4 linked regions of the Arabidopsis thaliana genome follow. The protein of the gene in region 3 interacts with the protein of the main gene of each other region in a pairwise test. Each region holds a gene or a part of one and is shown on either strand. Other genes may lie near its edges. The genes, in order: IAA8, IAA19, ARF8 and IAA1.

What was found.
Region 1: the proteins of ARF8 (region 3) and IAA8 interact in a two-hybrid assay, tested with the Arabidopsis thaliana proteins (3 studies listed by BioGRID, with this or other methods).
Region 2: the proteins of ARF8 (region 3) and IAA19 interact in binary tests that used the Arabidopsis thaliana proteins (3 or more experiments, as listed by UniProt).
Region 4: the proteins of ARF8 (region 3) and IAA1 interact in a two-hybrid assay, tested with the Arabidopsis thaliana proteins (3 studies listed by BioGRID).

The regions. Positions count from the first base shown.
Region 1 is NC_003071.7:9,634,376-9,639,291, reverse strand, and holds IAA8 (indoleacetic acid-induced protein 8), read right to left. Parts: upstream 2,913-4,916; 5' UTR 2,655-2,912; exon of another isoform or gene 2,485-2,654; 5' UTR 2,416-2,484; coding exon 2,395-2,415; exon of another isoform or gene 2,187-2,394; coding exon 1,669-2,186; intron 1,572-1,668; coding exon 1,342-1,571; intron 1,246-1,341; coding exon 1,104-1,245; intron 1,018-1,103; coding exon 956-1,017; intron 877-955; coding exon 833-876; 3' UTR 547-832; downstream 1-546. UniProt on the Arabidopsis thaliana protein: Aux/IAA proteins are short-lived transcriptional factors that function as repressors of early auxin response genes at low auxin concentrations.
Region 2 is NC_003074.8:5,262,329-5,266,234, reverse strand, and holds IAA19 (indole-3-acetic acid inducible 19), read right to left. Parts: upstream 2,235-3,906; 5' UTR 2,136-2,234; coding exon 1,727-2,135; intron 1,134-1,726; coding exon 1,040-1,133; intron 948-1,039; coding exon 857-947; 3' UTR 540-856; downstream 1-539. UniProt on the Arabidopsis thaliana protein: Aux/IAA proteins are short-lived transcriptional factors that function as repressors of early auxin response genes at low auxin concentrations.
Region 3 is NC_003076.8:14,627,698-14,634,960, forward strand, and holds ARF8 (auxin response factor 8), read left to right. Parts: upstream 1-1,755; 5' UTR 1,756-2,453; coding exon 2,454-2,496; intron 2,497-2,580; coding exon 2,581-2,690; intron 2,691-2,779; coding exon 2,780-2,878; exon of another isoform or gene 2,879-2,984; coding exon 2,985-3,041; intron 3,042-3,117; coding exon 3,118-3,273; intron 3,274-3,366; coding exon 3,367-3,451; intron 3,452-3,732; coding exon 3,733-3,823; intron 3,824-3,894; coding exon 3,895-4,059; intron 4,060-4,143; coding exon 4,144-4,266; intron 4,267-4,378; coding exon 4,379-4,454; intron 4,455-4,582; coding exon 4,583-4,730; intron 4,731-4,962; coding exon 4,963-5,936; intron 5,937-6,024; coding exon 6,025-6,215; coding exon of another isoform or gene 6,216-6,219; intron 6,220-6,291; coding exon 6,292-6,409; 3' UTR 6,410-6,757; downstream 6,758-7,263. Other genes in the region: AT5G37030 (P-loop containing nucleoside triphosphate hydrolases superfamily protein), read right to left, coding at 6,917-7,263. UniProt on the Arabidopsis thaliana protein: Auxin response factors (ARFs) are transcriptional factors that bind specifically to the DNA sequence 5'-TGTCTC-3' found in the auxin-responsive promoter elements (AuxREs). Seems to act as transcriptional activator.
Region 4 is NC_003075.7:8,359,365-8,362,556, reverse strand, and holds IAA1 (indole-3-acetic acid inducible), read right to left. Parts: upstream 1,562-3,192; 5' UTR 1,376-1,561; coding exon 1,218-1,375; intron 1,126-1,217; coding exon 777-1,125; 3' UTR 524-776; downstream 1-523. Other genes in the region: AARE (acylaminoacyl-peptidase-like protein), read right to left, coding at 1-2, 299-432. UniProt on the Arabidopsis thaliana protein: Aux/IAA proteins are short-lived transcriptional factors that function as repressors of early auxin response genes at low auxin concentrations.

The sequences.
Region 1 (4,916 bases), on a different chromosome or scaffold from region 3:
TGGATAAATTTGGAGCTCAAAGATAAATAAAATTAGATGTTAGTAAAAAAAAAATTTACAAATACGAGTTAACAGAGCTCACAATTCTCAAAAGAAGTTTGCTAAAATTCAAATTTTTATGCGTCACATTCTTTTATTATCTTTCCTTCGTTTGGGTAGCTATGTTAGCATCTACCTCTATTAGAAGTATGAGACTATAAATTTGTCAAACTCTATTTTGCTCACTACATAAATGTTCTCCTTTCTCTCTATCTCATCCACTCTTGCTCCACATGTATTTGATATGCCCTCTATTTCGGTAAGGTGAGGTTTATTTATCTACTCTTCCTACTCACCAGTCTTCTTTATACGTTATTATATGTATGTTACAAAAAAATCGAAAACAAAAAAAATATATATATGTAGTTACATTTTTTTTTTGTTCTTCTAGTATTTAATCTGTAAGAATATTGTAGAAGACACTATTGCGATTAGTCTAAAGCTTATCCAGATTTACACACTTTCATGTTTTAAAGATAATAACCATCATTTGAGATTCCACTTTGTGTGGTTAAAGGTTCTTTATCGTAATTATCACTTATAGACTTTGGTACTAAGTGCTAACAATAAACAAATCAAGATTTTGCGTAGAGACGAAATATCTTGAAGGTCAAAGTAGAAACACACACATAAGAATGTATTTGTTTTGAACAAGCACACACAAATAAGAGAATCCAAAGTCTTACAACACAAATTAGTAAAAAGACTAAAGAGTTTTCAAACACATCAGTAAATAAAACTTAAACATTGGAACTGTGCATAGTGTTTTTTTTTTGTCTTGAGCATCTTCGTTTCAAACCCGCTCTTTGTTCTTCGATTTCTCCACTGCACCTGGAGCTGCCACAGAATAAATCAACAATGAAATGAGCCATTGAGTTTGTATTCAGATTAGGGGGAAAGATGTTGGAAAACTTACCTAAGCCAATAGAATCAGAACCCTTCATGATCTTCAGTTTCTGGCATGTTTCAGTAAATATCCTGCAAATAGGTTTTAACAAGGATTCAACTTTTGAACGGAAACAAAACCACAGTTATTAAAGCTGAGAGTTCCAAAAGAAGCTTACTCCCATGGAACATCGCCAACAAGCATCCAATCACCGTCTTTATCTTCATAAGTAAGCACAAATTCTGATCCATGAAGAAGATCCTTCAGTTTAATCTCGCTCATTCTTTCCCTCCCTTGAGCACCATGAAGACCACATTGACCTGAGATCACAAACAAGAATCGAAATCACTGTTCTTTGGTTCATTCTGTTTTACAGTAGAATCAATGATTAGCTTAAATACATAGTAAATTCTCACCAAGGGTGAAGCAGCTGAACATTTTCTCAAGTGCAGAAGACAACTGTTGATAGGAAGTGTAAGTTCTCAAGTCGACCTTTCTCAGATACGGAGCACCATCCATGCTCACCTTCACAAACAGAACACCAAGACCAGGTTTCCCATCAACCTCATCAGTGTTCTTCGAAGTAGAAGAAGCCATTGTATTCTTCCGGTATGATCTGATTGGAGGCCAACCAACAACCTGTGCCCTGCAAAACAATAGACACAGATTACCACAAGATTCGTTCTTGACTCATAAACAAACTCATAAACAAACTCATAAACAAATCATCATATAATACACACTTGGCAGCTGGTGCATTGTTCAAGCCACCCTTAGCATGAGATCTTTCTTCTTGAATACTCTTCGAGACATCCTTAACTTTCGGCGACAACATCATGTTGATTCCTCCTCCAGGTCTAACAGATCCTTTCACACCCGAAAACTCATCCCAAGTGTCAGCAAATCCTCTCTTGTTACCAGAAACAACATTCTTATGCCCTGTAGTAGCAGAACCATTGTCTTTAGAAGGTAGCAACGGGAAGAGAAGCTTCTCATCGGGTGTTCTCGGACTCAGCAAACCGAAATCAGTCTCTCTCTCAGGAGATTGAGACTCAGGAAGACCTAGCCTCAGTTCAGTAGCTTTGAAATTGAGATTGCTCTTCCCAACAACATTGGGAATAGTTGAGCTATCAACAGAGGAACAATCAGAGAGACCCAAGTAGTTACGTTCTTTCAAACAAGGTGACGTAACCAGTTCATCCTTATCCACACTTAGCAATCGATAAGACATCAGATCTTCAATATGCAGGACTTGTTTTATCTGCTTAGCATCACAACAACAAGAAGAACAACCCAAAATCAATCTAATTACATAAAAATCTTCACTTTCTATAGATGCATGAACAAAATTCTCAATTTTAAGAAGAACCCAGAAAAATTAGGGTTTCAGATGAGAATTGGGTTAGATTTGCTTAACAAGTAAGATAAAGTTAGAAACTTTAACCTAGGTTTCATAGCCAGAATTCAACCTTATCGTTCCCAGAACTCATCTTCCCCAAAATCAATCACTTTCCATTCAAAAACCAAAAATTTCTTACTCTAACTTCTTCAGCATTTCCCTAAAATTCAGAATCACAACTAAATCACTTACTTACGAGAAAAATAAACTAAACCCAAATGATAATGAATCCAAAGAAGCTACAAGAACCAAACAAACAAACCCAGATTGAAAATTGAAACTAGAGAAGGAGGTTTCAATAGTTCCTTTTAGAGAAATTGAAACTAGTACCTGAAGAGAGAAGAAGAACAGAGTACGCAGAGGATCAAACAAACACTAGAAAGAGAGAGGATAGTGAGAGAGAGAAAATGCACGAAGGGAAGCAGAGAGGTCAAGGTCCGTCCATGGAAAATGAACCAGAGAAAGCTAACAAAAGCGCAACAATCAAGAAGAAGAGAGAAACAAAAACATGGAAGGAGTGGTAAATTTAGTAATAAACTACAAAAGTAAGGGTATTAAGGATAGATTAGGTTTGTTCGTATGTGGTGTGGAGTACTGTAGTTAGATCTGACGGTTGAGAATGAGTAAGTGAGAGTGATTCTGAGTCGTTAGATCTAATGGAGAAATAATAATAAATACATGTCGTTGTTATAGGTAACATGGTTTCAGGTTTCTGTTTTGTAAGGAAGCTTAAAAAAACATGAAAATATTATTAATTTTAATTTGATTTATATATTTGAAATGACTTTTTTTTGTCTCTGTTATTCTTTTTATTTTATTTTGTAGGTCCACAAATAACATGCGTGTGTTTATTATATTTTATTAAAATTATTATATGGTTTTAGCAATAAGTAAAATCAAATCAGATTGTTTTATGGTATATTTTCTTTTGTTGTTGTTAAAATGATTTAGATAGAAATGGGACCATCCAATATTTAAGAGGCTGAGTGGTCTAAAATACCTATAAATTTAATATGTTTTCCATTATAATCAGAGTTTCAATAGTTATGGGACCACGTATCGGTTTAAATTTTGTCTGTCTAAAAATATGCATACCGCCAATGAAAATTACAATGGATAAAAAAAAAGTAAGACAGAGCATTTAACAAGTGGTAAAAAATGAAAATTTACGAAAAAGAGTGTTAAATATTCTTCTACTCGTTTATAATTATGGGCTGAGAGCAATTAGCAAAGGAGAGTGATGATACGAGAGAGACAAGAAAGCAGCAATTGAACTTTGTTTTGCCGGCTGCTTAATATGCTCTACTTTTGGTGTGGTATAGTTATGAAATGTACAATAATAGATACCATAATTTAAGTAGACTCACAACAAAAATCAATGTATAATTATTTAGTTAAACTAGTGAGGAGATTGCACGAGGAACAAAATTCTAAGAACACAATCAATGTGAAAATGAGAGCAAATGAAAATAGAAGTGAAGAGTTGTATATTTGAAGAAGAAGGTCATGATCAAAGAGACACGTTGGAAGCACGCTTAAAGAGAAGGGAAACAACCAAATCAGGCTTTGCAGCTTCACTGTTGTTCACATGCCTGTCACCTAATTCCATCATCACCCGCGCTCTTCCTTTCTTTCACATCATACGTCACCGTCCCGTAGCTATACCATTTATCACCCTCTTGTCTCCCACTCTTTTTATTGTTCTTGTTTCTTTTTTTTATGTTCATTTTTTTCTCACTCGAAGGTTAGATTATATTAGAGAACCCATTATATTACTAAGATTTTTTTTAATGTTCATTACTTCATGTTTTTTTGTCTCTATAAACAAAATTCATTCTGTTGTTACTAGGGGTGTCAAAATGGGTAACCCAACCCAACCCAACTCATAATCAAATGAGTTTATGATTAAATGAGTTATGGGTTGACCCAACTCATTTTGTTAAATGAGTTGGGTCTAACCCATAACTCATTTCATTTGATGGGTTGAGTTGTTAAATGGGTTAACCATTTAAATAATAATTTAATTAATTATTATTATAAAACAATAATAAATAATTATCATCATCATTAATTCATTATTATTAAATTTGAGATATTTATTGATTCAGAAATTTTTACGAGTTTACATTTTTAGACGGTAAAATTACGAGGTTACGTTTTGTGACGGGAAAATCACGGGGTCATGTTTTTTTGGCGGGAAAATCACGAGGTTACGTTTTTTTGGCGGGAAAATCACGAGGTTATTCTCATCTTCTAGTGTAAAGTAATCCCACATATCTGATGTTCTACTTCTTTTAAAACGAGAAGCACTTACTAAACTTTTAGATTGTGATGTATCTGCTGATGTTTGCCCACCTTCACCACCATAAGTACATTCGTCTTCATTGTCCATTTTTTGTAAAAGATCAGCTGCAAATAACTATACATAGAAATAAGGCCAAGTTAGAGATTGCTTAATAAAACCTGTTATTAGCCAAATACAAGAATTAATCACATAGACACAGTCAAAGAATCAATAAAACAAAGAGAAAAGAAGACTGTTTTGGACAATACGACAAGCATATGACTAAATACGATTTTTGTTAGCTCACA
Region 2 (3,906 bases), on a different chromosome or scaffold from region 3:
TATTGTACAGAACAACAATATAGAAAAACAAAAACTAGGTTGACATACCGAACATGTCGGTGTTTTCTATAATTGATAGTACTTATGCTATCAAAAGCAAGATGTGCATATCTATAAAAAGAATCATTACAAAAAAAAAAAAAAAAATGAAGAATAAGCTTAAATCTTTAAATTAAGCAATCTTAACTTTGAATGTGAAATTACGATTATGAATTAACTAATTTCTTCGGAGGTATACGAATATTTGGAATAAAAACTTACTAGTAAAAATCTTATAGTACTAATAAATTATACAAGCATAACTCTAAGAGAAAAAAAAGGAAGAATGAATTCTTTGTTTTTATCTTACACTTATATACTTATGAAAACATCTATTTAGATTTGTGATGTCACTTACTGAAGTAGAAGTAAAAACTAACGAATGTTTTACGTAGACTTTTTTTATAAATATCTATTTAGATTTGCTTATAATATCCATATTTTTTCCAAAACACAGGTATACATAACATATCAACAATGAAAGATTCAAATAATAATTATTATTTTTTAAAAAGATGAAATAATGGATACTTATTACATATGTTTCTACACACATATATAGATCCGAAATAACAATAAATTTTGAAACAGATTAATGTTTTAACTCAACACTCAAGAAACAAGTAGTGTATATATATATAGCTGTCTTTCTGAAGATAATTATGCAAAACCATAACATGAAATTTTGTTGCAAAATAATATACTATAACATATATATTTATATAACATGAATAGGAAAAATGTTCTAAAGGATCTTGATGATCAAGTTTAAGATTAAATTAATGAACCAGCTCCTTGCTTCTTGTTCAAGTCATCATCACTCGTCTACTCCTCTAGGCTGCAGCCCAAACCCGGTAGCATCCGATCTTTTCATTATTCTCAACCTCTTGCATGACTCTAGAAACATCCTGCAAATCAAAATATCCAAACTCATTTACTTTAGTTTGTGATACATTTTCTTTTTGTAGTGAGATATCTTAAGTCAAAAGATAGAACATACCCCCAAGGTACATCACCGGCGAGCATCCAGTCTCCATCTTTGTCTTCGTATATGGTAACGTATTCGCAGTTGTCACCATCTTTCAAGGCCACACCTGCACAAATATGTATATATGTAAATTTAAAATTGTGTTGATAATATGGCGAATTCGGTATATAGAAAAGTCTAATTAACAATACAACTATACAAGTGGTGCATAAATTCTGATTTTTAGAAATTACGGATATGTAGTAACCGAAACCTCTAATTTTCTATGATAGATAATTTTCAGATAATTCAAAACAGTTTGGAGAAAAATAACCAGTTAAATTAGGACTAGTCTTAAGTCTCTAAGAACAAGTAAATAAATTTCCTGAGATGACTAATAAAAATCTCGACATATTTGTCCTTTCATAACACTTTAAATTAAAATCTATAACATTGCTACCACAATCAGTTCAACTGCTAACCAAAATTCTAACTATATTTGTATTAGTGTTGTCATTGTATCATAAATTGGGGTGTTGGTTTGGTTGTAGACATAAAAAGAAAGAACAGCACTAAACTATACTACTCCATTACGTCTACAAGACTACAACACTCTAAGTTCTTAATCGGACGTCTTGTAAACTATATATAATTAGTTGTTTTCCACATGATCTAATTACCACTCTACTTTTATGGGAAGAGAACATAATTGTTACTAACCGATGCCACGGAAACCGAAGAGCTTATCAAGAGCAAAGGCTAGATCATCATAGCCTTGGCTCGAACCAAGATCCATCTTCCTCAAATAAGGCACACCATCCATGCTCACTTTCACATACCCTAACCCCACTTTCGTGGTCGAAGCTTCCTTACAGCTGTTTTTCTTCCGGTAAGAACAAACCGGTGGCCACCCCACCACCTGGCTTTTCGCCGCCGGCGAATCATTAACCTTCTCAGCGTCACCACCAGATGAAACGACGCCGCTTTCACATTGATCACTATTACTACCCGACGACGTCATATTCATCTCCGTGAAAGCTCTCTTCTTCATCATCTTCTCTGCCACATCTCTCCCCGGAAGCCCCAATCTCAGCTCCGTTATCTCAAGCCCGAGTCCTTCCTTCTCCATTTCTTGAACTTCTTTTTTTCCTCTCACAATTTGATACAATTATGAAATGAGAACTTTCTTCTCCTACACTTCTCTTATTGTAGTAATGGCACCGCGTCGTGCTTTTTATATGTTGCTTCGTTGGTCCACACGATACAACCAATGAAAACCAATCCAATATCGACACGTGGAGTCATTTGATATCTAAAGTCTTCTTCTTCTTGTTATTCAGTTTGTGTGGGGAGACAAAGTGGGGGCAGAGACAGGTCAACTGAGGATGCGGTGGTCGGTCACATGAGAGACATAAGTTTGGTGCTGTTTTTATTTTTTTCTCAAAATTAATAAAGACCGGCATTACAAGGTGGTTAAGGGAACAGATCCTACGGTTGTGAAATTTTCTTCTGATTTTTCTCTGACCGTTGGATCATTGGAATCCGAATCTCCTTCTCCTAACATCCCATGTGTTTTTTTTTTGTAAAGATTCTTGTTCTAACTAGTATATCACAGAATCACAACTATAGTATACTTTTTCTTCAATAAGTTCATGTTATTTAGTTATTTTATAGTGAAAATAAATAAATAAAACTATAGTCTATTTGTTTGCATTTCTAATAAGAGGATGGGAATATTAAATCAAATCCTACCATTTTGGGATATGTTCGTTTATCTCTCTTTGCATCAGTTTTTTTGGATTGGCTTGTATATAACTAACAACATTTAGCTTAATAGTAAGATATTCCAGCAATGATTTTGATTGGTCACCGCTTTAATCTCACATGGAGAATATAAACCAGATATACAAAATTTGTATGGATCAGAATCAAATATAGTACCGAGTTTAGTTTTGGAATGTGACAAATAGTTACAAAGTAAAAACGTATATTCTAGTATGTTTTGGGTTCAGGTTTGAGTTTTAATCAAATCATATCCATAATTTATAAGAATATAACTACCTTCTCAAGTATTGGGTTGAATTTTACTTAGGGATTCAATTATATACATGCTCTAATCAAATTAGAATTTGGTTCGACTTTTAGATCAGTTTTTTTTTTTTTTTGTTTTTTGAATATCATATCATATGGATTGAATTTGTACTAATTTATAACTATTTAAATCTTCTTTGCAACATCCTGGTAAACCAAATTCCCAAAGAAATATATAGTCAATGGCAACACCTCTCAACTTAGACTAACAAGAGGATGTATTGTAATCTTAAGTTAGAGCTGTTTATGATACTCATCTCCAAAGTTAGTCTCGAACCAATGACTTCAAGCGGAGTATAACTAGTTTCGAATAGGTTCAAACTAAGCCAGACCCGCATTGTTGGGTAGTTGTTAACTATCTCTAGCTCAGCATACCAATAAAACACAAGAAGTATAATGATGGGGTTTAGAGGACGTAGGGACACGAGAATAGAAAAAAAGATCGACCGTGTGTATGTGTGTGAGTGTGTGTGGGTTCACTCTTGTCTACCAACTTTGATCAATGGATTGACAGAAACAAGTTGGGCCACGTGAAATTATATGAAATACAACCACATAAAGAGATTAAGTTCCATACTCCCATATCTCTAGTTTACCTTTAATGTTTCCAAAGGCTACCAAACGACATTTGTAGCACCAAATATTTATAAATTCCATTTTTACAAATTTTGAGTGGGAGCAGTGTTTGGTTTTCATCTCAAACGCACAACTGTCATCCTTTAAAAAAAACGTTTGTTTTATCAATAAACAAATATAATTTGATCAAAAATTTCATCCGAAGCCCCTTTTTCACCATGAAATTGGTCCAT
Region 3 (7,263 bases):
CATATAATTTGACATCATGTTGTTTTAAAAAATCAATCGTTGAGTTATATAAATGATTGCGACGTATCGCACGATATTACCATCGATAGAACGAAGGAAACTTCCATTTAGCAGTTTTTTTTATTCAAAAAACATATCTTTCATATAATAGAAGTGGAAAAGTTACACCAAGGAAAATTGAACCTACAATCGAAATAAATGAGATAACAAAAGTATTACAATAAATTTATTGAAAGACACCAAACCAGATGAATGATCCGTTGAGCTATCCAACAAGGGTCTAGATGACATTGAAGAATGTTAATGATAAATAATGAGAACTGAGGCTGGCTTTGAGGATGAATTATGCAATCTTGCATTGCGCTTTTTTCCATATGGAGTACAGTGAGGCTTGATAGGCAATTCGAAGAATCAAAGTAGTTTTCTTGTCACGACAAGGATTCTTCAACCATCTAACTTCATCCTCAAATTGATTTAGAGGAGAAAGATGGGCTTTATCATAGAAATAGTGTCATACCTTTGCAACATAAGAGCAGTCGAAGAATAAATGTTAGCGAGATTCATCCATCAAATTACAGAGAAGACACGACGAAGGAGTAGTCATGCCCCATCGAATCATTTTGTCTCTAGTGAGAAGTCTATGATGAGACTTTAGCCAAGCAATGAAAGCATGCTTAAGAATCCTTCCTGGAAATCACACAGATTCAAACCGATCCATCTTTGTGTCAGGAGGATGAAGATGTGCATAAGTTTTTTTTTGAATATTAATGTGCCTAAGTTTTAGCAGCAGAGAAAATATTTGATGCATGGATATCATCACCTTCCAAAGGTAAACATCATCCTCTACATCCTCTTGTAAGTTAACAGTAGAATAGGAAGGAAGACATTCTTTAAGCAACTGAATAATGGGACTGCGACTTCGAGAATTTGTAAGCCACTATTGTCTCTTTCTCAATGCATCCGCAACCACAACAGAACGAGGGAGAAGAGAAATTCTTAGTCATAAATCTTCAGGTTAGCTCGACAAATATGGTCCCAAAAAAATCCAATTATCAGTCCAGAAATTACAAGTTATTTCTGAACCAATTTCACAAACGATGAAAAACCTAGTTAAGGGTCTTAACTTGCAAAGATTATTCCAAATCCAGCTTCTCCAAGTGATACACTCCATATCCCAAATTTTTTAAAAATTATTCAAACAAGATCCATGTGTATTAGTTTTCTCTTTTGGTAAGTAAAATAGTGGTATCCATAAGATGTTGGATTATCGGGCATCTATTTGCTAATGATTGTTTCTAAATTAGAACTTAGATTTGCGAATCTAATAATACATCACTTATCAATAGATAAACCTTTGACCATTTTTTCAACGAACTCATAAAAGATCCAACAAAATATTTTTTGAGTTATTAAATTAAATACTACTATAAATTATCTTTAAATAAATCAAATTATGGGAGTATTTGGTGTTTCTTTCATCAATGAATGGAGCAAAAATAAAAAGTATTTAAAATAAACAACGCTAACATTTATGACAACTCTATTATCTCTCTCTCACTCTCTCACTTCAAATACTATAATTCATTGTCCTTTTCATCGAATCCAAGACCTCAAAAAAAACAATTATTATTTTTCAACGATCAAGATCTCAAGAGTCAAATCCAACGGTCAAAAAGAAGTGACTCTGGTACTGACACCACCTCTCATAATTCTCGTTAGTAGGACCTCTCTTCTTCTTCCTTCTCTCCACTGTATCGGATCCGGGTCAAATCCGGGTCGGGTGGAGTCGGGTCGGGTCTCTTATAAGAGGAGGAAAACCACTTACTCACTTTCTTCTTCTTTTCTCTCTCTCTTTCACCCCCACGCACTCTTCTTTTCTCTCTCTGACACATATCTTTTTCTCTCACTAACCATTTCTTTCTCTCTCTCTCTTCTGTTTTTGAAAGCCAAAGTGTCTCTCTTGGACAGTGATGGAACTGCTTCAAGAGATTTAATTTTTTACCCACGAGAGAAGTCAAGTTGTTGAAGAAGAAAGATTTGTTCTTTTGTCTTGTTTCTTTCATTTTTTCATCCACAAAGATCTCAAAGACAAGAGTTTTTTTTTTTCTGTTGGGGTTGCTTCAATGCGTACTTGTAGTAGAGAGCTTGTGTTGTTGTTCATGGTTTGATGATGAGAAGAAACAGATTCTGGTTTTGAAGAAATGGGGTTTGTTCTGTTTCTTGTGTTTAAGGGTTTTATGGATGGTTTTTTGATTCGAAGCTTTCACTGAGTCTTATGGTTGTGAGTGAGATTTTTGGGGGTTTGAACAAAGGAGATGGAGAAAGACGAGTTTGTACTTCCGGAGCTAAAGAGTTATAGCTACTGTAGTAGCTGGAAGTGAAGAAGATTTTTTAATAGATTGTACGGAAAAATTAGGGTTTTCAAAGTTTGGTTTCTTGAAGTTGAATTAGACATGAAGCTGTCAACATCTGGATTGGGTCAACAGGGTCATGAAGGTGACTTGTTTACTCTCTGATTTTCTTAGTTCTGTTTCTGGACAAGTGTTTTCTTAGTTCTTGTGTCTGTGTTTGTTCTAACAGGAGAGAAGTGTCTGAATTCTGAGCTATGGCATGCTTGTGCTGGACCATTAGTCTCTCTTCCATCATCTGGTAGTCGAGTTGTTTACTTTCCACAGGGTCACAGTGAACAGGTTTGGGTTGTTGTTTAAAAGTATGGAGCTTTATTTTTAGACTTGTGTTATATTTGGGCATTTCCATTTAAATAGAAGTGTACTTGTAGGTAGCTGCTACAACTAATAAGGAAGTTGATGGTCACATACCCAATTACCCAAGCCTACCACCACAATTGATATGCCAGCTCCATAATGTTACAATGCATGTGCGTAGTTAGTTCCCTGTCCCTTTCCATATTCAATTTTTACTTTTGTAAACTAGTTTTGGGATGATGTGCTTTGTAAGTATGGGTTTCGTTTCTACTATTTCAGGCAGATGTTGAGACGGATGAAGTCTATGCTCAAATGACACTTCAACCATTGACACCGGTAGATACATTATACATAACAGGTTTTTGAGTCTGTGAATTAATAACTTAAGCTTTAGGATTGGTGTTGTTTATAGGAGGAGCAGAAGGAAACATTTGTACCGATTGAGTTGGGGATACCGAGTAAGCAACCTAGTAATTATTTTTGTAAGACTCTCACAGCTAGTGATACCAGTACACATGGAGGGTTTTCTGTTCCTAGACGTGCTGCTGAGAAAGTGTTTCCTCCATTGGTATTATACTTTTTCTTTTACTTACTTTGCTATAAATTGTTGTTGAGAAAATATATGTATTCCTTTTAATATCTTGTGTCTTCCCTGTTGCAGGATTACACACTGCAGCCACCAGCTCAAGAACTGATTGCAAGGGATCTCCATGATGTTGAATGGAAGTTTAGGCATATCTTTCGGGGTAGGTTTCACCTTTCCTCGGTGTGCGTTGATGATCCCTTTTTAACTGTAGTCGCCAGTGTAAAAATTTCAATTGGCTGTTAAGTATGTCTGAAGCAGCATCTGCTGTTATTTTCACTACTCATGTGTGGTTTAGTTGAAGAAACCACGGAGGCTCTGTGTTCTTGTCGTTGTCTATTATAACGTGGAATTATTTACTTGTTCATATGAAGTTAAGTTGATTTGAATCCTTCTTCTTGGTTTGTTAGGAATAACTTACATGGTTTTGGTGTGATTATGCAGGACAGCCCAAACGGCATCTCCTAACTACTGGATGGAGTGTCTTTGTCAGTGCCAAGCGACTAGTAGCTGGAGATTCTGTCATTTTCATCAGGTTTAGTTCTTTTGTTGTACGTTCAGTTTGTGGATTGTGATTATATTTGTAACACTATTACTTGTTTCCAGGAATGAAAAGAATCAACTCTTTTTGGGAATTCGTCATGCCACTCGGCCGCAGACTATTGTACCATCATCTGTTTTATCTAGTGATAGCATGCATATTGGACTCCTTGCTGCTGCTGCACATGCTTCTGCAACTAATAGCTGTTTCACTGTTTTCTTTCATCCAAGGTTGAAAAATCTCTCCCACCTGCATCTTTTTCATCTCTCGGTATATCCGATAATATATCCTACTAATATTCTCTTCATGTTCAGGGCTAGCCAATCTGAGTTTGTGATACAACTTTCCAAGTACATTAAAGCCGTTTTTCACACGCGTATTTCAGTTGGGATGCGCTTTCGCATGCTCTTCGAGACAGAAGAGTCGAGTGTCCGCAGGTGATGATGCCACATATCTGGAAATGCAATCTTGAAACTGAGAAAACTATATCATTATGTTACACATATTACTTTAACATGTTTTCTGACAGTGGCATGGGGAACTTTCCAGGTACATGGGTACTATAACTGGTATTAGTGATCTAGATTCTGTTCGTTGGCCAAACTCTCATTGGCGATCTGTGAAGGTAACAACACTATTAAGCCTGTTACCTTATTTAAATTCCATGGAACGTCACACAGCTTTCTGATGATTTAGTCCAATATTACTCTGAAATTCCATCAACATTGATGAACTGTGGCATTATTGGTGTAGGTTGGTTGGGATGAATCGACTGCAGGGGAGAGACAGCCAAGGGTTTCTTTATGGGAGATTGAGCCTCTGACTACCTTTCCTATGTATCCATCTCTTTTTCCTCTCAGACTAAAACGTCCATGGCATGCTGGCACATCATCTTTGCCTGGTATCCACCTTTTGGCTCTTCTCCTAACTGTTATTAACTAGTATAGTACGTTCGTGAAGTCTCTTACTGTCACTCAGTGTTTCTGCTATTGTAACTTAGTTGCTACTTCGGATAAATAACAAATGTTCGATTGAGTAGAGCTCTGAAGAGGGTCTTACTGTTATAATTTATTTACAAAGAAGTGTGTAGGTACTCTCCATAGCTATTTACTCAAAACATTATGATGTTACAGATGGAAGGGGTGATTTGGGAAGTGGTCTAACATGGCTAAGAGGGGGAGGTGGAGAGCAGCAAGGTTTGCTTCCTCTAAATTATCCATCTGTTGGTTTGTTTCCATGGATGCAACAAAGGCTGGATCTCAGTCAAATGGGGACTGATAATAATCAGCAATACCAAGCAATGTTAGCTGCTGGGTTGCAGAACATCGGCGGTGGAGATCCTTTAAGACAGCAGTTTGTACAGCTGCAAGAGCCTCACCACCAATATCTTCAACAATCAGCTTCCCATAATTCTGATTTGATGCTTCAGCAGCAACAGCAGCAACAAGCGTCACGCCATCTCATGCATGCTCAAACACAGATTATGAGTGAGAATCTTCCGCAGCAGAATATGCGACAAGAAGTTAGTAACCAACCAGCTGGACAGCAGCAACAGCTACAGCAACCGGACCAAAATGCATATCTTAATGCTTTCAAAATGCAAAATGGCCATCTTCAACAGTGGCAGCAGCAATCAGAGATGCCATCTCCCTCGTTCATGAAGTCAGATTTTACTGACTCAAGCAACAAATTTGCAACAACTGCTAGTCCGGCTTCTGGAGATGGCAATCTTTTGAATTTTTCTATAACCGGTCAGTCTGTACTCCCTGAGCAGTTAACAACAGAGGGCTGGTCTCCAAAAGCATCCAACACTTTTTCTGAACCGTTGTCACTTCCACAAGCCTATCCTGGGAAGAGTCTTGCTCTAGAACCCGGAAATCCGCAGAATCCCTCTCTTTTCGGTGTTGATCCCGACTCTGGACTCTTCCTCCCCAGTACGGTTCCCCGCTTTGCTTCTTCATCAGGAGATGCTGAAGCTTCCCCTATGTCACTAACAGATTCAGGATTTCAGAATTCCTTATATAGCTGCATGCAAGACACAACTCATGAGTTATTGCATGGAGCTGGACAGATTAACTCGTCCAACCAAACCAAGAACTTTGTAAAGGTGCTGGTTTGTTCTAGGCTCACCGACTTCTCTGTGGCTCTACTGTCTCTAAGAAAATACTGATATGCTTACAAATCCAAAACTGCAGGTTTATAAATCTGGTTCGGTTGGGCGTTCATTAGACATCTCCCGATTCAGCAGCTACCACGAGCTGCGAGAAGAGTTAGGGAAGATGTTTGCTATCGAAGGGTTGTTGGAAGACCCCCTTAGATCAGGCTGGCAGCTTGTATTCGTTGACAAGGAAAATGATATTCTTCTCCTTGGTGATGACCCATGGGAGTAAGTAAAGTACTCTTCTTCTATTTGTATACATTGCTTTAGATTTGAGATAGATCTTTAAAAGCTTGTTCTGCAGGTCATTTGTGAATAACGTTTGGTACATAAAGATACTATCACCAGAAGATGTGCATCAAATGGGAGATCATGGAGAAGGCAGTGGTGGGTTATTCCCGCAAAACCCGACCCATCTCTAGAAGCTGCTTCGGTGTTAGTCTCATCATGCTACAACGCGGGAGCCCTTTGTTTCCCATTTGAAGTCGTTTCCACTCATCTTTATATGCCATTCGTTCGCATCTCTCTCGTTTTGACGTTTTTAGAAAGAAACATAATCATATTTGTGAGTATGGGTCCTGAAACTTTAGGACGTACTTTAGCTTGTATTAGACAGACACTCTCGTCATAAACATAAGAACCTTTATGTAGCTGTCTCAGGGTAACTAAACTTTTCTAGTATTTATTCTTATTCTATTTTTGTAACAACATTGTTAGACATTCAGTTTGGTCAGACCAATTAGATTCCATAAGGTGTGAAACCAAAACCAACCAAATCTTTAAAACACAACCATTAATCACAAAATGTTACCAAAAGCTTCTACTAGTAACTTAGGTTGAAGAATGACATAGATGAAGTACCAACAACTCATTTTCTCCCTTTCTTTTTGACCCAAAGAGTACTTAAACGTGCACACACATCAGACTTATCAACCTTGGACAGCATTCATGGCATCTCTCAATCTCTTATCATCTTTAGCATCATAGAAGCATTTACGTCTCTTCGAGTCACTTATAAGGTTTGCCCAAATCGAACCACTCCGAGCCAGTGTTGACTCATTTCCAATCACCCATAAACAGTGCCTAGCTCGAGTGAGTGCCACATTGGCTCTTTGACGGTTACTGAGAAATCCAACCTTCCCGTTACTATTACTTCTAACGGTAGAGATGATGATAATGTCTTCTTCACCACCTTGAAACCCATCTACAGACCGAACATTCACAGTGAAAAGCTCACCTGATAAGGAACTGTACTTATCTCTGATTCTCTCTTGGA
Region 4 (3,192 bases), on a different chromosome or scaffold from region 3:
AACTGAAACAAGTATCTCATAAATCACTAATGATTGCAAAACAATTCCATTAATCAGATTCATCATCCATAACTCTAAACCAATCAAGTTCTTAGTAGATATGATTGGCTTCAAATTCGTTAAAACAGAACAAACAAAAAACCAATCAAAGTAATAAACTTTCGGATTAAAAACTGTCATATAAACGATACCCATCAAAGCAATACCATCAATGATTCTCAATTCGTGGTAACACCATCAAAGTAATGAATTTTCGGATTGAAAAACAGAGACTGAGAGAAGAAGAAGAAGAGCTTACGGAGACTGAGTGAGTGAAGGAGTGATGAAAGTAGATCGGAAAAGAAGGCGACGAAGATGACGATGAGAAGAGCTCAAGTCAAATCCCAAATTGGTGGAGCAAGTTATTGGGTAGTGACTAAAGATTCTCGCCATCTAATATTAAACAAAACAAAAAAAAGTTGAAAACTTTCGATAGTGATATCCATTACATTGCCCATTTCTTAATCCAAAATTTTATATCTTTCACTATGTCCCAAACTTATGTTAGTATCAAATACTAAACTTTATTGGTTATGTTAGTATCAAATATCTTGAGCATACATATAAACTTCGTATAATCAAAACTCATCTTTTACAGAATTAACCAAAGCTAGTTTACATCTATATAACGTATTTGTAACCCTATTGCTTTTTCTTTCTTTACACCAAACTTTTTTTTATCTAAACAAAGTAGAATTTGTTTTTGCCTCGACCAAAAGGTGTTTTGAGACAATGGATCATAAGGCAGTAGGAGCTTCGGATCCTTTCATGATTCTGAGTTTTTGACAAGATGAAGAGAACATGTCCCATGGAACATCACCGACCAACATCCAATCTCCATCTTTGTCTTCATAAGTAGGTACAAATCCAGATCCTTTGTAGCCTTCTCTCTCGGAATATTCACCTACTGTGAACTTGAACATGTTCTCTAGTGCTTTGAGAAGCTCTGGATAGTTTTTGTACATCTTGAGATCTATCTTACGGAGATATGGAGCTCCGTCCATACTCACTTTCACATAACTCACGTTTTTGTTGTTGTTGTTCTTACGGTTAGATCTCACTGGAGGCCATCCAACGATTTGTGTTCTGAAGTTTACAAATCAAGATTCATTATTAGTACACCGATTGATATCAAGAAGTTTGGATATTAAAACTATAACTTTCAGATCTCAACTTACTTTGCAGGAGGAGGAGCAGATTCTTCTGTTGAGTCGTTGTTCTTGCGCTTGTTGTTGCTTCTGACGCAAGAAAGTTCTAGTTGTTGTTCTTCTTGTGCTCCGGGTAATCCCAAACGAAGCTCTGTGTCCTTAAGGTTAAGCCCATTGGTGACTTCCATATTCTCTCACTATACTTTAACGGAGAAGCTCTCTTCCTTAATTCTTGAACTACTTCTTCTTCTCTTGTTATTGCTCTTCTTGGGATTGTGATTTGATATCCTTGAAAATGCTTGTGTGTGTTGTGTAATGGTGAGGGAGAGAGAGAGATTTATATAAGGAAAGATGCTTTGAAATTAGGGTTAACGAGAGAGAGAGAGAGATATGAATTATGACGTTGTCGGGGAGCATGAGGAGGCAAGTTAGAGGCAAGGGGACAAAGGTGGGACACAAAGATTTTGGACGCGGCTTCTTTCTTATTTTCAACGGTCCTGATTTGTCTCCGCCAGTTGCGTACGCGAGATCCTAGCCGTTTCTTTCTCTTACGGTCAAATGAGTAAAGAGAAAATCATAAGAGTAAGAGAACTTCTCGACCTTCGTCCTTCTACCACACGATCACGCTAGGTTTATGTTTTGCAACTATTCGTTATTCGGATTGATTCAAGAAAATATCTAGATACATTTTGTATAGTTCAGATTGGATCATCGGATATCATAGTAGAAAAAATGAAACTAGTGTTGGACATGTTGATCATATAGATCAAGCTTTTTCGATCACCCCAGTTGTGGGGTAGTTTTCATGAAAATATTTCATTTTTGTGTAAAGGTTTGGTATATGGTAGAGTAGATGTCTAGAATAGATGATCAAATATTAATGGTCAATTTGTATCGAAGAATTAACAATTTCCTTTTATAAATATTTCGACAGTTTTTGCGTGAAAAGTAATGTTTTGTTTGCAAGAAACTATAGAACAAAATAATAGACAAAACACTGTAAAATATTATTTATTTTCTCGTAGACACATATATAAATTGTAAGTATAGGTTTGTACAATTATGATCAATAGTAAATAAATTGGGGAGGGAGATGCATGTGGATGAGGGTGAAGAGTGTTCTTAATGGAATAATGGATGCAGGAAGTATGGTAAGGCCATGTGATATGCTGTCTCAAATAACATTTTTTCTATTTATTTTATTTTAATTATTGTGTAAAATTTCATTTTAACATTTATTATAAATACAAATATCTATATGAAACTATATATTTTGTTGAAAAAGAGTTGAAAAAAATATCTAAAGAGATGATTTAAAAAAAAAAAAAAACCATTTTAAATGGGCTTTTGGGGACACGGCCCATGTGGTATTTCGAGCAAGGTAATACAATTAATCCCTTCTCGAAATTACGCATAACTATGTTCATTTAACTTGCAATTCCCATACCGCATGCACCTTAATTTGATGTTTATATTTGTGTTGGGCGTATATTCATTCCACAATCACTGTCCACTAAGAAATTTTATTGTCTATCTAGCGACAACGAGAACAAAAACTAGATCATATATGAACATATTGACAAATCAAAATGTATATGGGTTATTTTACCAATAAGCATTATCGTTTTTACAACAAGTATAAAGTAATGCTCCCTACGTTTAAAGTTTATAAGATGGTTGAACAATTTTTTGTCATTTTAGTTGTTGTTTTTGTTTTTCCATACAACATTTGTGTTTTAAATTAATAATTAGTACTCATATTATTGAACTATTATTAATCAAAAAGTTATTTCTAGTTTCTTATTCTTTTCATATTCATCCAAAACAATTTTTTTTATTAAAAAAAACATAAAGAGTATAACAAATAAAAAAGTATATGTATAAACTTGATCATGAAATACAGAGATGCTAGTCGCTAGAGGCTTGCGTGTTCAATATAAAACAAGACGTATGCTTATAAGAAGTAACATTTGTTAAATCTGTTTTGGAAATCCCTCTCATTGTG